3 linked regions of the Neurospora crassa OR74A genome follow. The protein of the gene in region 3 interacts with the protein of the main gene of each other region in a pairwise test. Links are inferred from orthologs where the notes say so. Each region holds a gene or a part of one and is shown on either strand. Other genes may lie near its edges.

What was found.
Region 1: the proteins of prd-6 (region 3) and NCU06540 interact in a two-hybrid assay, tested with the Saccharomyces cerevisiae proteins (2 studies listed by BioGRID, with this or other methods). The link is inferred for Neurospora crassa OR74A from reciprocal best matches to the Saccharomyces cerevisiae genes NAM7 and PAT1.
Region 2: the proteins of prd-6 (region 3) and NCU08663 interact in a two-hybrid assay, tested with the Saccharomyces cerevisiae proteins (2 studies listed by BioGRID). The link is inferred for Neurospora crassa OR74A from reciprocal best matches to the Saccharomyces cerevisiae genes NAM7 and NMD3.

Annotation. Positions count from the first base shown.
Region 1 is NC_026504.1:1,578,512-1,582,262, forward strand, and holds the start of NCU06540 (topisomerase II associated protein), read right to left. Parts: upstream 2,388-3,751; 5' UTR 2,031-2,387; intron 1,599-2,030; 5' UTR 1,552-1,598; coding exon 1-1,551. UniProt on the Saccharomyces cerevisiae protein: Activator of decapping that functions as a general and active mechanism of translational repression and required for P-body formation. First decay factor recruited to mRNA, at a time when the mRNA is still associated with translation factors.
Region 2 is NC_026504.1:4,180,263-4,184,013, reverse strand, and holds NCU08663 (60S ribosomal export protein NMD3), read right to left. Parts: upstream 2,248-3,751; 5' UTR 1,981-2,247; coding exon 1,919-1,980; intron 1,858-1,918; coding exon 360-1,857; 3' UTR 49-359; downstream 1-48. Other genes in the region: NCU08664 (tetratricopeptide repeat protein 1), read right to left, coding at 2,646-3,386, 3,465-3,584. UniProt on the Saccharomyces cerevisiae protein: Acts as an adapter for the XPO1/CRM1-mediated export of the 60S ribosomal subunit. Unlikely to play a significant role in nonsense-mediated mRNA decay (NMD).
Region 3 is NC_026505.1:5,327,009-5,330,143, forward strand, and holds the end of prd-6 (ATP-dependent helicase NAM7), read right to left. Parts: coding exon 1,776-3,135; 3' UTR 529-1,775; downstream 1-528. UniProt on the Saccharomyces cerevisiae protein: RNA-dependent helicase required for nonsense-mediated decay (NMD) of aberrant mRNAs containing premature stop codons and modulates the expression level of normal mRNAs. Also capable of unwinding double-stranded DNA and translocating on single-stranded DNA.

The sequences.
Region 1 (3,751 bases), on a different chromosome or scaffold from region 3:
CTTCTTCACATCGCTGGCGCTGTCGTTACGCTTGATGTTGAGAAGCGGCTTCGGGGTCTTGGCGTTGCTGAAGGAAATCTTGCCCAAGCTACCTTCAATAACAAGCTGCTTATTCTTGGGCTTGTTCTTGGCCGCCTCAACAGCACGCTGGACCTGTTGTTCCATCCTCTGCATATGGTTTTCAGGACCCCTGTTATGGCGGCGCATACCTCCTTGACGGCTTCCTGTCTGAAACAGATAAGTCTGAGCGAACTGGTTCAGAGGCTGGCTGGGGTGCTGGCGATGGCCAGCCTGGATCTGACTATGGACTTGATAGTAAAAGTCCTCGGCGAGTGACTCGTCTGTGCCGTGTTCATTGGGATTTCCAGTGGCTGCGACAAGCTGCTGAAGCTGGATCCGGGTGATGAAATTCTTGTCCTGTGGCGTCATGATACCATTGTCGCGAGACATTTGGAAGATCTTGTGGTTGCGCTTGGCGCGCTTAGCTTCCTGTTCAAGATACGCAGCCTTTTCCTCCTCCGAGAGCTGAGCCAGCTGGGCAGGATGAAGAATCATAGGGGGCTGTCGCGGAAGAGAGCCTTGTTGCCTGTGGCCCTGGTGAGCGGACTGAGGACCGGACGGAGGCGTAGGGTGAACAGGCAGCCCGATCTTAGCCGCGTCGCCTGAAAGACGGTTGGGGTTCTGCAGGATCTGAGTAGGCTGCTGAGGAACAGCGGGTTGCTGATGCTGTTGAATAGCGGGCGGTTGGGAAGAGGGCTGGGCTGGCGTAGGAGGCTTCGAGTGAGGCCGCTGAAGAATTGTCATGGGATGTCCCTGCGGTTGATGGTACAGAGGTTCAACGACACCGGCTTGGAAGTGAGCCTGCGGCTGGTTCTGAGCTTGGTGCTGGTAGAGGTAAGCCTGTTCATGTGGAATTTGATGGGGCTGATGCTGAGGAGCGGGAGATGGGGTGGCCGCCTTAGCCTGGGCGCGCATCTGAGCCTCAACCTCCTCAAGACTCAGCATCTTGCGGCCCCCAGACGGCGCGCTAGGGACGGCAGGTTGAGCAGGCGGCGGCGGTTGCTTCTTGGGTGCGACACCCCAGAGAGCAGCGTCAACCTGAAGATCCTCGATCGGCTGCTCGTGGTATTTTTCGTAGCCGGTCCTGGCAGGTCTAACTGGAGCCTGCGCGAAATAGTTGTACGAGGGTCCGGCGATGGGCGTATAGGCCGATGGCTGCGCGACAGGCTGGGGAGCCTTGGCAGCTGGTTGTTGGCGGTTGAAACGAACATTTTCCTCTTCAATGACGTTCGCGACCTTGGCGGTGTGGCCAAAGAAGTCAAAGTCTTTGCCTACAGGACCCGGCTCGCCAGTATCGCCGCCAAAAGTATCATCATTGAAGGCATCGTCGGTCTCATCCAGCTGGTCACCCAAGCCGTCATAAGTGTCCTCGAAGTCGATCTCTTCGGCTTCCTCGTCCCGGTTGGCTAGGCTGGCAAAGGGATCGTGAGCCTGGGAGAAGCCGGGAGCGGCGGTATTATGGCGAGACTGGTCGAAGTTGAAGAAAGACATATTGGCGATGCCTGTTGGGTTTATGGAAAATTTCTACAGAGGTATCACTATTGTAGGGTCAGTATACGTTGAGCGAAGAAAGATCGTTGCGGCGCAAATCCGGGTGCGATGTTGAGCTTTGGCTGATTGGCAAGGGCACAGAGGAAAATGAGGGGCAAAGCAAAAGACGAGACCCTGGTTGGTGAGTGGGACGAGAAGTATAAAGAAGGAACAGCCGTGACGCAGGTTCACGAAGTTCTGGGTGGAAGGGGAAACAGGAAGGGCTTGAAGGTCCAGTGGTCAAACAGCCCGAGCCAAGCAGAGGGGCGACTCGATGGATGTTCCACCTAGCTGGGGGTGGTGAGCTGTCTCTTGAAGCGCGGGGCAACAACAACGACATGGAAGATGGAGAATTGGGACATGGGAGCCCAACTTTCATCCCATGACCTTGCCATACCGAGGTTGCAAGCACGCTGTAGAGAAATCAAAGAACAACGTACAGAACGATATGTAAAGATGTTGGTATGATCGGTTTGGTCAAGCACCATGATGCTGCGATGCGCGACGTGAAGGGAAAGGAGACGTGTCGACGGCGGTGCGACTCGTGCAAAGGAGCGGAGCAGAGCTTGTCAGGGCGGCAACAAATACTCAGCGCTCGGCTTGGAAATATTAAAACAGAGAAGCAAAGAAGGCTGTGAACTAACGACCGGAAGCGCAACTGGGTGCGCCGCGGTGAAGATGTGGATGCGGTTGCTCGGAGTGGTAGCTTGATGGCAGCGCAAAAGGCGACAAGAGACCGACGCAGATGGATGAAGTCAGGCCAACTCCAACTCAGAAGCCAGATCAGGGAGCTGTGGACCAATCGCCCCCGAGGGCCAATGGAGCCTGGCAACAGGTGGGCGGGCGGCGGTAGGCCTGACGCTTTGACACACCACCCTCCTGTCTTGCCGTTCGTTGACTGACGATGGGACTTCCAAGGCCGCGGCCGGGGGAGTGATTGCCACGGTTGGGCGGCAACCAGAGGCCCATTGCCTGCCGGGCTGTGGGATCCTCAACCGCCGGCAAGAATGTCCATTCCATCCTTCCAGTCTTGCAAGTTGTTTTATCCGATGAGCCAATCGGCGATACCCGCCCGCTAGTTGTGATGCGTAACAGTGATCAACTGGAGGCTACAACATGAGACCCGGACGGGACGGCAACCTCATGGTCAACATTTAACGCCAAGCCGACAACCAAATTTCAAGCTCGAGATATCGATTTTGGCAAGAAAGCTGAAGGGCAAGGACAGTAGCTCAGGCATCCATTTTGCTGCCGTGACATCCGTGACTAAACGCAGCTGTTTAGACTGTGCTTCTAAGTATGTGAATTCGCCATTCCGATGCAGGTGAAGCGGAAGCGCGGACATGGACAGAGGCAAACATGGCATGGCTATCTTAAGGCTGTTTTCTTGACAGGTGACTTTACTGTACATAGTATGCAGTCGAACTTGAATTATATCAGGGGCCTGGTATTTCCCTGTTGTTTCTTTTGAGAGGGAGGTATCATGGCCATCACTCAAGTCGGTGTTCTTCGCCATCTTGAAGAACTACTCCGATCGGAGGAGCAATGCGGAGGGAGCAGGCCGGCAGCAGATCATATTAACCCAAGTATCATAGTATGAGCTAATCAGCCACTTCTCAGCGTGGTAAAAGGATCAAGAAGCTCAAGACATACCCCTCCGTTGACGGATGCGACATGTGAACTGAAGTCGTCGTAGAGGTAGGTAGTGCCCCTGGAAGTTGACGACGCCCGTCTCAAGGGGGTTTTTGTCCCTTACTAACAGGGCCACGCTAGAACCGTCACGGCCCGCAATAATGGGGTACCTGCGGATACAGGTGACGACGAAGCTGTGGGGGCACCGAGGGCACCCTAATGTCTTTCCCTGCCGCCTACCCCCGCGGCCAATCTTTTGGTCCTGGCCGGACGGAAACATTGAGGTGCTCAGGGGAATGCACCGCAAGCGACCATCAGGAACGGGGAATGCGATAGCTTCTGGTAGGTATGTAGATATTATTTAGGCCACTTGCGGACGTTGCTGAGGATGTTGTAGGTAGATACCGACACTTTTGGGATGTTTTCATTACAGGCTAGTTCGCACCTAACTACCTCTAAAGAGGCCGAAACATGAACAGCACTTGAGATACCAGCATCTCCATGCTAGACATTCCTCTAATATCCAAGT
Region 2 (3,751 bases), on a different chromosome or scaffold from region 3:
AATTGATGATGACCGAAGGCGACAAGATAAAACAGACGGATGGAAAACATTTTGAGCAGATGTGTAACACTAGGCCTTGACTGACCAAGATCATCGTACATGACAAGTTGCACATCTTCGTTGATTTAGTACTTTGACGGTCGTAGCATCCTTTCAACCACGTCTATGCATTCACAACTATAAAGACAACAGAATGTTGGATGCAGAGGGCGCCAACACGGCAAGCCCATTCCCGAATCTATTCATGAAATGCCTTAAAAACGCAAACCCTGAAGAACAGCTAACTCCCAGAATTTTGATTTACCCCGAATCCCAAAGCCATTCACATCCACATATCAGACTCCAATCAAGATCACATCCTACTCCTTATCCTGAATCTCCATTTCCTCAAAGTCATCGAGGAGCTCGTCCATGCTGATCTTGGGGCCATCCTCCTCAGCCTCCGTCATCATGTCGGTATCGGCAATGCTCATGGCATCCGCCTCCCTCTTGGTCTTGAGCGAGTTCTTGTACAGAGCAAGAGCAGCACGAAGCTCCTCGTCCTCCTCGACATCGCGCAAGAACATCTCGTACTCGGCATCCATCTTGGCCTGGTCCGAAGCCTTGGGCAGCAGCTCGCCCTCGTCCTTGGCCATGCGCTTGAGCTTCCAGTTTCTCTTTCTGTTGCGGCGGCGGTTCGGGTAGTGCTTCTTGACGAGAACAACGTCAGGGATCATGGAACCGTACGCCTTGGAGCTCTCAATCGCCTCGAGCGCGTCCGAGTTGAAGTTGGTACCCTCGAGCATGTAACCCAGCACCGAGTCACCGGCGTGGAGATGCTGGCCGAGATGTGTGCGAGTGAAGTAGACGTTGTCGTTCACGCCGAGATCGGAGGCACGAGCGACCTGGACCTCGGAGAGAAGCCACTTTCCTTTTCGTACGCCTGTGGACTCGATGTCCATAACGATAAACTCAACAAGATCGGGAGTGCCGGCAAGCGGATGGAAGGGAGCACGCCAGTAGATATCGGCGCTGACTTCGGCGGTCTGGAGGGTGTTGGGGTCGAGAAGGTTGACAGATGTTCCTATCCTGTGGCAAAGGACAAGGGGAGAAATGTTGCCAATGGACTTGGCGAGTTTGAGAGGAAGGGCAACCAAATCGTCTCTGCAAACAGGCACGATTTCGACGGAGTAGTTGTACTTGTACGACTTGTTGCCGGTGTGTGTATCCGCGGAAATAAGATGCCTCGACTCCTTGGTGAGAACTGGTACGACGGACTTCAGGAAGCTGATGAATCCCTCGGCCTGGTTCTTCTGGGCAAAGTAGAAATCGATACCGTCCTTCTCTTCCTTGATGTTGATTGTGTCGCGATGGGCCTGGTGCCTGAGAATGAGCTGTTCGAGGAAAAGGAACGTCCTCTTGTGGGTGACCTTTTGGCGGACCTGTACGGCGGCGCGCCAGACGTTGGCTGTGTATGACTTGGCGCAGTCCTTGCACTGCTGGCTGGCGACGACGTAAGTGACCTCGAAGCTTTGCTGCATCAACACACCATCCGCCACCTGATCCTGAACCGTAACCTGAACCTTGACTCTTCGCGAATGGGGTTCTGTCCAAATGAACCTGGCGTCTGTGATGCGGACCTTGCCCAAATTCCTCAGTTTCTTCAAGCATAGCGACAACAACTCTCTCGATTCGGGGGCGGCTGTGACCCAGCTGGCGGGGGGTAGGAGCCATCTGTCGCAATCTTTGCAGAAGTGGAGGGTGGCCTCGCGCTGGATGCCCTGGGAGATATCGACGGTGGACTTGATGCAGTCGTAGCAAAGAGCGCCGGCGGAGGATGTGCCATCGATGGGAGCGCCGCAGTTGCAGCAGAGAATGCTATTGGTGGTGTCAGCAATCATGCCTTCGATAACCTTCAGTCTTCATGGTCAAAACTCACGTAGCACCTGTCCTGGCAGAGCCCATCAACGGGGCCATGGCCATAGGAGCGTCGAGATCCATGATTAATGAAGTTGTGGTTTGCGACAAGATATGAATCGGGGTATCAATTGTAAAAACAAACAAAAGTCGCTATGTCGTGAAAAGGAAAACCTGGGAGTTCCGTCGCAATCACAAGTGAAGTTGCTGCGGATGAGAAAGAAGTTGACGACTGGAAATTTGAATGGACCAGGACGAGAACGAGTCGCTGGGGGGGAACGTTGGAGGCGCTGACGGGACGGTCGTCAATAAATTTCTTGATGGGCCCAGCACCAAATCGCCCCGCGCTGCATTGATAAGCAATTCGTTATCGGCTATCGGCTACCGTGGGTACTTAGAGGTATTAGCACAAGCCAGTGCAGCAGTACGTACAATTGTGGCGTTCTACTGCCGGCTTTGCCACACCAATAAATCAGCCTCAAAACTTATGGAGCTTTAGCTCCGGCCAGCTGTATTGCAGCTGTCGGGTACGAGCTCCTGATCATCTCCCCCCCTTGTCGATCTGTTGACATTGAACTGTCGATTCGTGTTGACTACTGGTCGATAATATTTTCAGGTGACTGGAAAATCAGCTTTCCCAGTCAGAGGTGCATATGGCTGGGTGACTGGACTATCAAGAAGCCATTCATCCTCAACCACGACGCTGGTAGGCATCGCAAGAGCCCTGACCCTCATTAACTTTCACAACATTACTTTTTGCCTTCGCCACCACCTCCCTGGAAATTCATGCTGTAACCACCGGTCTTCTCATCCTTCACCATCTTGAAATGGTCAGTGCTAAGACCAAACGGCTTAAGCAACCCATTCCCAAGGTCCTTCAACTTGCCCCACATTTCAGCAGTCTCCTTCTCCTGAGCAGCCTTGGCCCGGGGCGGCAGTGCTCTGAGTTGCGCCTGGACGAGCTTTCGGTCGGTAGCCGTAAGGTTGGTCATGGCAGATAGCTTCTTGTAATCCTCGATAGCCCCCTCGAGGGTGGACCATCCACCCAGCTCGCTCCTTGCCCGGGCCCGGCGTAGCAGAGCTTTGGCCCGTATCCTGGCAATATCCTCTAGTCGCTTTTGGCGGGCAATCTGCGCTTCAGTTTCCGTGACAGGAACGGCGGGTCCGGCCTTTGCTGCACCAGCGCTGACAATCTCCTCTTCGACATCTTCCTTCTCCTTCTCTTCCTTCTCGGCAGCCAGCTTGTCCTCCCGCTCTAGCTTGTCAAGCAAGTCCAGAGCTTTGGTTGCGTGCGTGATGGCATCCTTCCAAGCTTCCAGCATGAGGTGACAGGCGGCCACGTTGGAGCGCAAGACGGCCAAGGGGTAGTCCAGGTAGTTTGGACAAACAGCAATGGCTTCGTCATATTTGTTGAGGGCGGCATCGTATTTGCCCGAGGTGAAGAGGGCGTTTGCCTCTGCTTTGTGTGTGTTGGACTCAGCTACCAATTCCTGCTGAGGCGGTCAGTCACAGAGGTTTGGGCATCAAGAGGGTCTTTGTTGTTGTTGCTTTTGGTCGTGGGTACTTGCAGCCTCTTCTTCAGGTGAGAATTTGATATCGGCCTGCTTGGATTCATCATTTTCTTCCTCTGCTTGAGGATCCTTGACCTTCTTCTGCTCAAGCTTGTCATCAGGAGTTTTGGAACTCATTTTCAAGGCAGGTTTGTTTAAAGTGCTACAAGGTTGCCGGTATCGGAATGGTAGTATCTTTTCAGTAGCTCGGAGTGAAAGCTGGAAGGAGGTCTGTAGAAGGAAGGCGTTTTGCGGATGAGATAATGGGACATGCGAGATAAGAAGCCGCGCGCGGACGGAAGCTG
Region 3 (3,135 bases):
AAGAAAGTTCTTCGATTCGAAGTAAGTGGGTGGGTGGGTGCATTGACCGCCACGCCAAAGACAAGACAACAGCTGTCCTGGGGACACGCTCTTTCAAGTCCGGCTAATTGAGCCGGTTCCTTATGTTGTGACCACCCCCATATAAAAAGTTGACGAAGAAAAAATCACAATAATTCACCGAAGAGGAGGATGATGCAAGCAGCATATGTGGCTGCATGAGATGGGATGAGATGGGATGGATGATACAAAGGTCAAAGAGGAAGCAAAACAGAGATACCAATTGGCTAGTAAAGAGAGAGAGAAAGAGGGAGAGAGAAACGTAAAGCAGGTACGAAAACAAGAGTACATAAGCTTCTAGAGTAAAGAATCACTTGTAGTAATATACATAATACCACGTTCTTGGAAAGAACAAAAATCGTCAGCTCATGATAGAGGGTTTTCAGTCTTCACAATGGTTGGGCAACTCGGTCAACAACCGTCATACACAACATTCACCCATCTTCGTGTCACGGAGAAAATTACTAAAACCAGCGGGAAACGAAGTTCAAATAAGCTATCTGAATAAGTAGGTAGGTACCCATGATACGTTTCCAGATTCCCAGTGTAAGTATATGTGAATAGCTATGACCGTTCACACCTACTCCTCTTGCGTTACCCTCTCTCTATCTGATAATTTCCAACGCTGTTTCTTTCTTTTTCTCTTGCCTTTCTTTTTTTTTGATTTTCTTGTTTTTCCTTTCTTGTCCATGTTGAGACTCCTCCCATCTCTCTTTTCTGTTTGAAAACTATCTCTACCCCATCTCTGGTCATAAAATAATGAGTGACTTTGGTTAGGAAGTCCAGAGGGACGAATATCAACTAACTATCAAACGCAGTGCTCACTGGATTTGTCCAGGCTTATCAACCGACAACTTCTCTTTTAAGGAGGGTATGGGATTGAGTGAGCCTGGACGAGTGAGCCTGGACGAGTGAGTCCCAGTGAAGCACGCTTGAAAACGAAGTGAAAAAAGACTAACTCAGGCTGGCTGGTGGTACGTGAAAGCTTAAGACTGGATGGAGTGAGCGTATCGGTGTAAACCAACCACTCTCTGCGTTGATTGACTTGCAGGCTTTGCCGTTTCATTCGGTCATCATTCTACCACGAAAGAAGATATCCAACTCTCCACCTGCCCGGAAGCAACAGATCGAGTGGTGACTTCTTCCTGGGTAGATCGCATTTGACCAGGCGCTTCCGCAACCATGCAAATTCGACCGCCAGCTAACCCAACGTTTTTCCCCCAATACCAAGTGTGGGTCGACCTCATCCGGCTCCGTACATCCGAACGATGACAAAACCCTCCTTGGATACCCGTCCGTTGCTTGAGTCCGTATGCACGTCTGATTTGATGTGCAACCTTAGACGAAGGTGTGTGAAGATGCCTTGTTCCCGTATGCTTGGGGTTCAGCTTGCACGAGACTATTGCGCAGAGGGTATGTAGGCTGATCATCCACACCTTGAAGAAGCCTATGTGAAGGATTGGCTTTCAGAGAGCAGCAACAACTCCTTGCAGCTTCAGTTGGGCGAATCCAAGCTGGAGAAGGGTAAGTTGTCTTCTGCCCGCCAGCCCGAAGGCTATCGGTAGCGTGTCAACAGAATAAGTCTGTCGTGCTCACCAAGTGACACATAATAGGTCCATATGCTATACCGCCGTTTAGGTTCAAGAGAACTATAAGCATTGTGTCGTGCGCTTCCACGAGAGGAAGAGGGAGACCAACAACGCCTAGGATCTAATGGCTCAATCGAAACCTGTCCCGATCTGACTGGCAAAAGCAGTGCTGACGCTCTTCTCGTCGTCATCGTAACGGCGGTATCCGTTGCCGACTCCCATACGACCATTGCTTTCGACATACTGCTTAAGGCGATCGCTCTGGCTGTAAGAAGTAGGGCGGGCTGATCCGATGGCCTCGCTAAGGCCAGCACCGAGACTCGCGCCGCCCTGTCCGATACCCTTGCCGCCGATGACACTGGAAGTGGCATCAGTGAACTCGCTGTTGGCGACGCTCTCGCCTGCGATGCTCTCTGTCGCACGACCACGGCCCTTGGCGCCTGGGCGTCCGTTGGGACCAGCACACGGCAAACCAGCCCACGCCTCAGGGTGGAAGTTCGAGAACATGGCAGGGTAACCAGAGCTCAAAGCAGCACCTCCCAGGGCGGAGCTGTGGATGGAGGAGACATCATCCGGGATGTACGAGACCATAGAACCAGTCTCATAATCCCTGACGGAGCCGGCAGTCAAGGGAGCAGCGAACCGGCCATTAGAGGGACCGCTGGCAACATGTTGAGTGTGGCTGCGTTGCGGCCGGTAGGCCTGGCGAGGTCTGCCAAACTGCAAGAGGGAAGGCTGGAGGTTTGTGAGGGGACCTTCGACGAGACACTTCTTGTCTTTGAAGTGGACGAGAAGGTGGTGCCAGAGCTCATGCTTGCAGAGAACCTTGGGGTTACCAATAATCACCAGACCGTACTTGGCACGGGTGAGGGCGACATTGAGACGACGGGGATCCGAAAGGAAACCGATGCCTTGGTTCTCGTTGGAGCGAACGCAGGACAGCACAATGAAATCCTTCTCTCGACCCTGGAAGGCATCAACGGAAGCGACTTCAACTTCCCTGTAGGATTCCTTCTTGAACGTGCCAGTGTTCTGCATGGTATTGACAATGTAGCTGCGCTGACCCTCGTACGGCGTAATGACACCGATGTCAGCAGGCTTGACACCAGCCTTGAAGAAGCGTGTGACAATCTTCTCGACATTGGCAGCCTCAGTCCGGTTGAGGTACGATGTGCCCGAGGCCGATATTTCCTCGTTGCCCAAGTTGGACCAGAACATCATGGGAGTCTCAGGGACCGGCCAGGGAAAATCAACATCCTTGCGAAGTCTCTCGGCGGCAGTGACGCCGTTTTGCAACGATCCTTCGTAAAACATATTGGAGGGGAACTCAGAGAGGCAAGGATGCATACGATACTGGACCTTCAAGCGAATGGGGGTAAACTGAAGCTTGACCAACCTCTCGAAGAGCGACTGGTTAAGGCCAGCCTTGGCGGCCTTCTTGTTCATAATGACAGGGCCAAGCTGCTTGTGGTCACCAACCAGGACAACC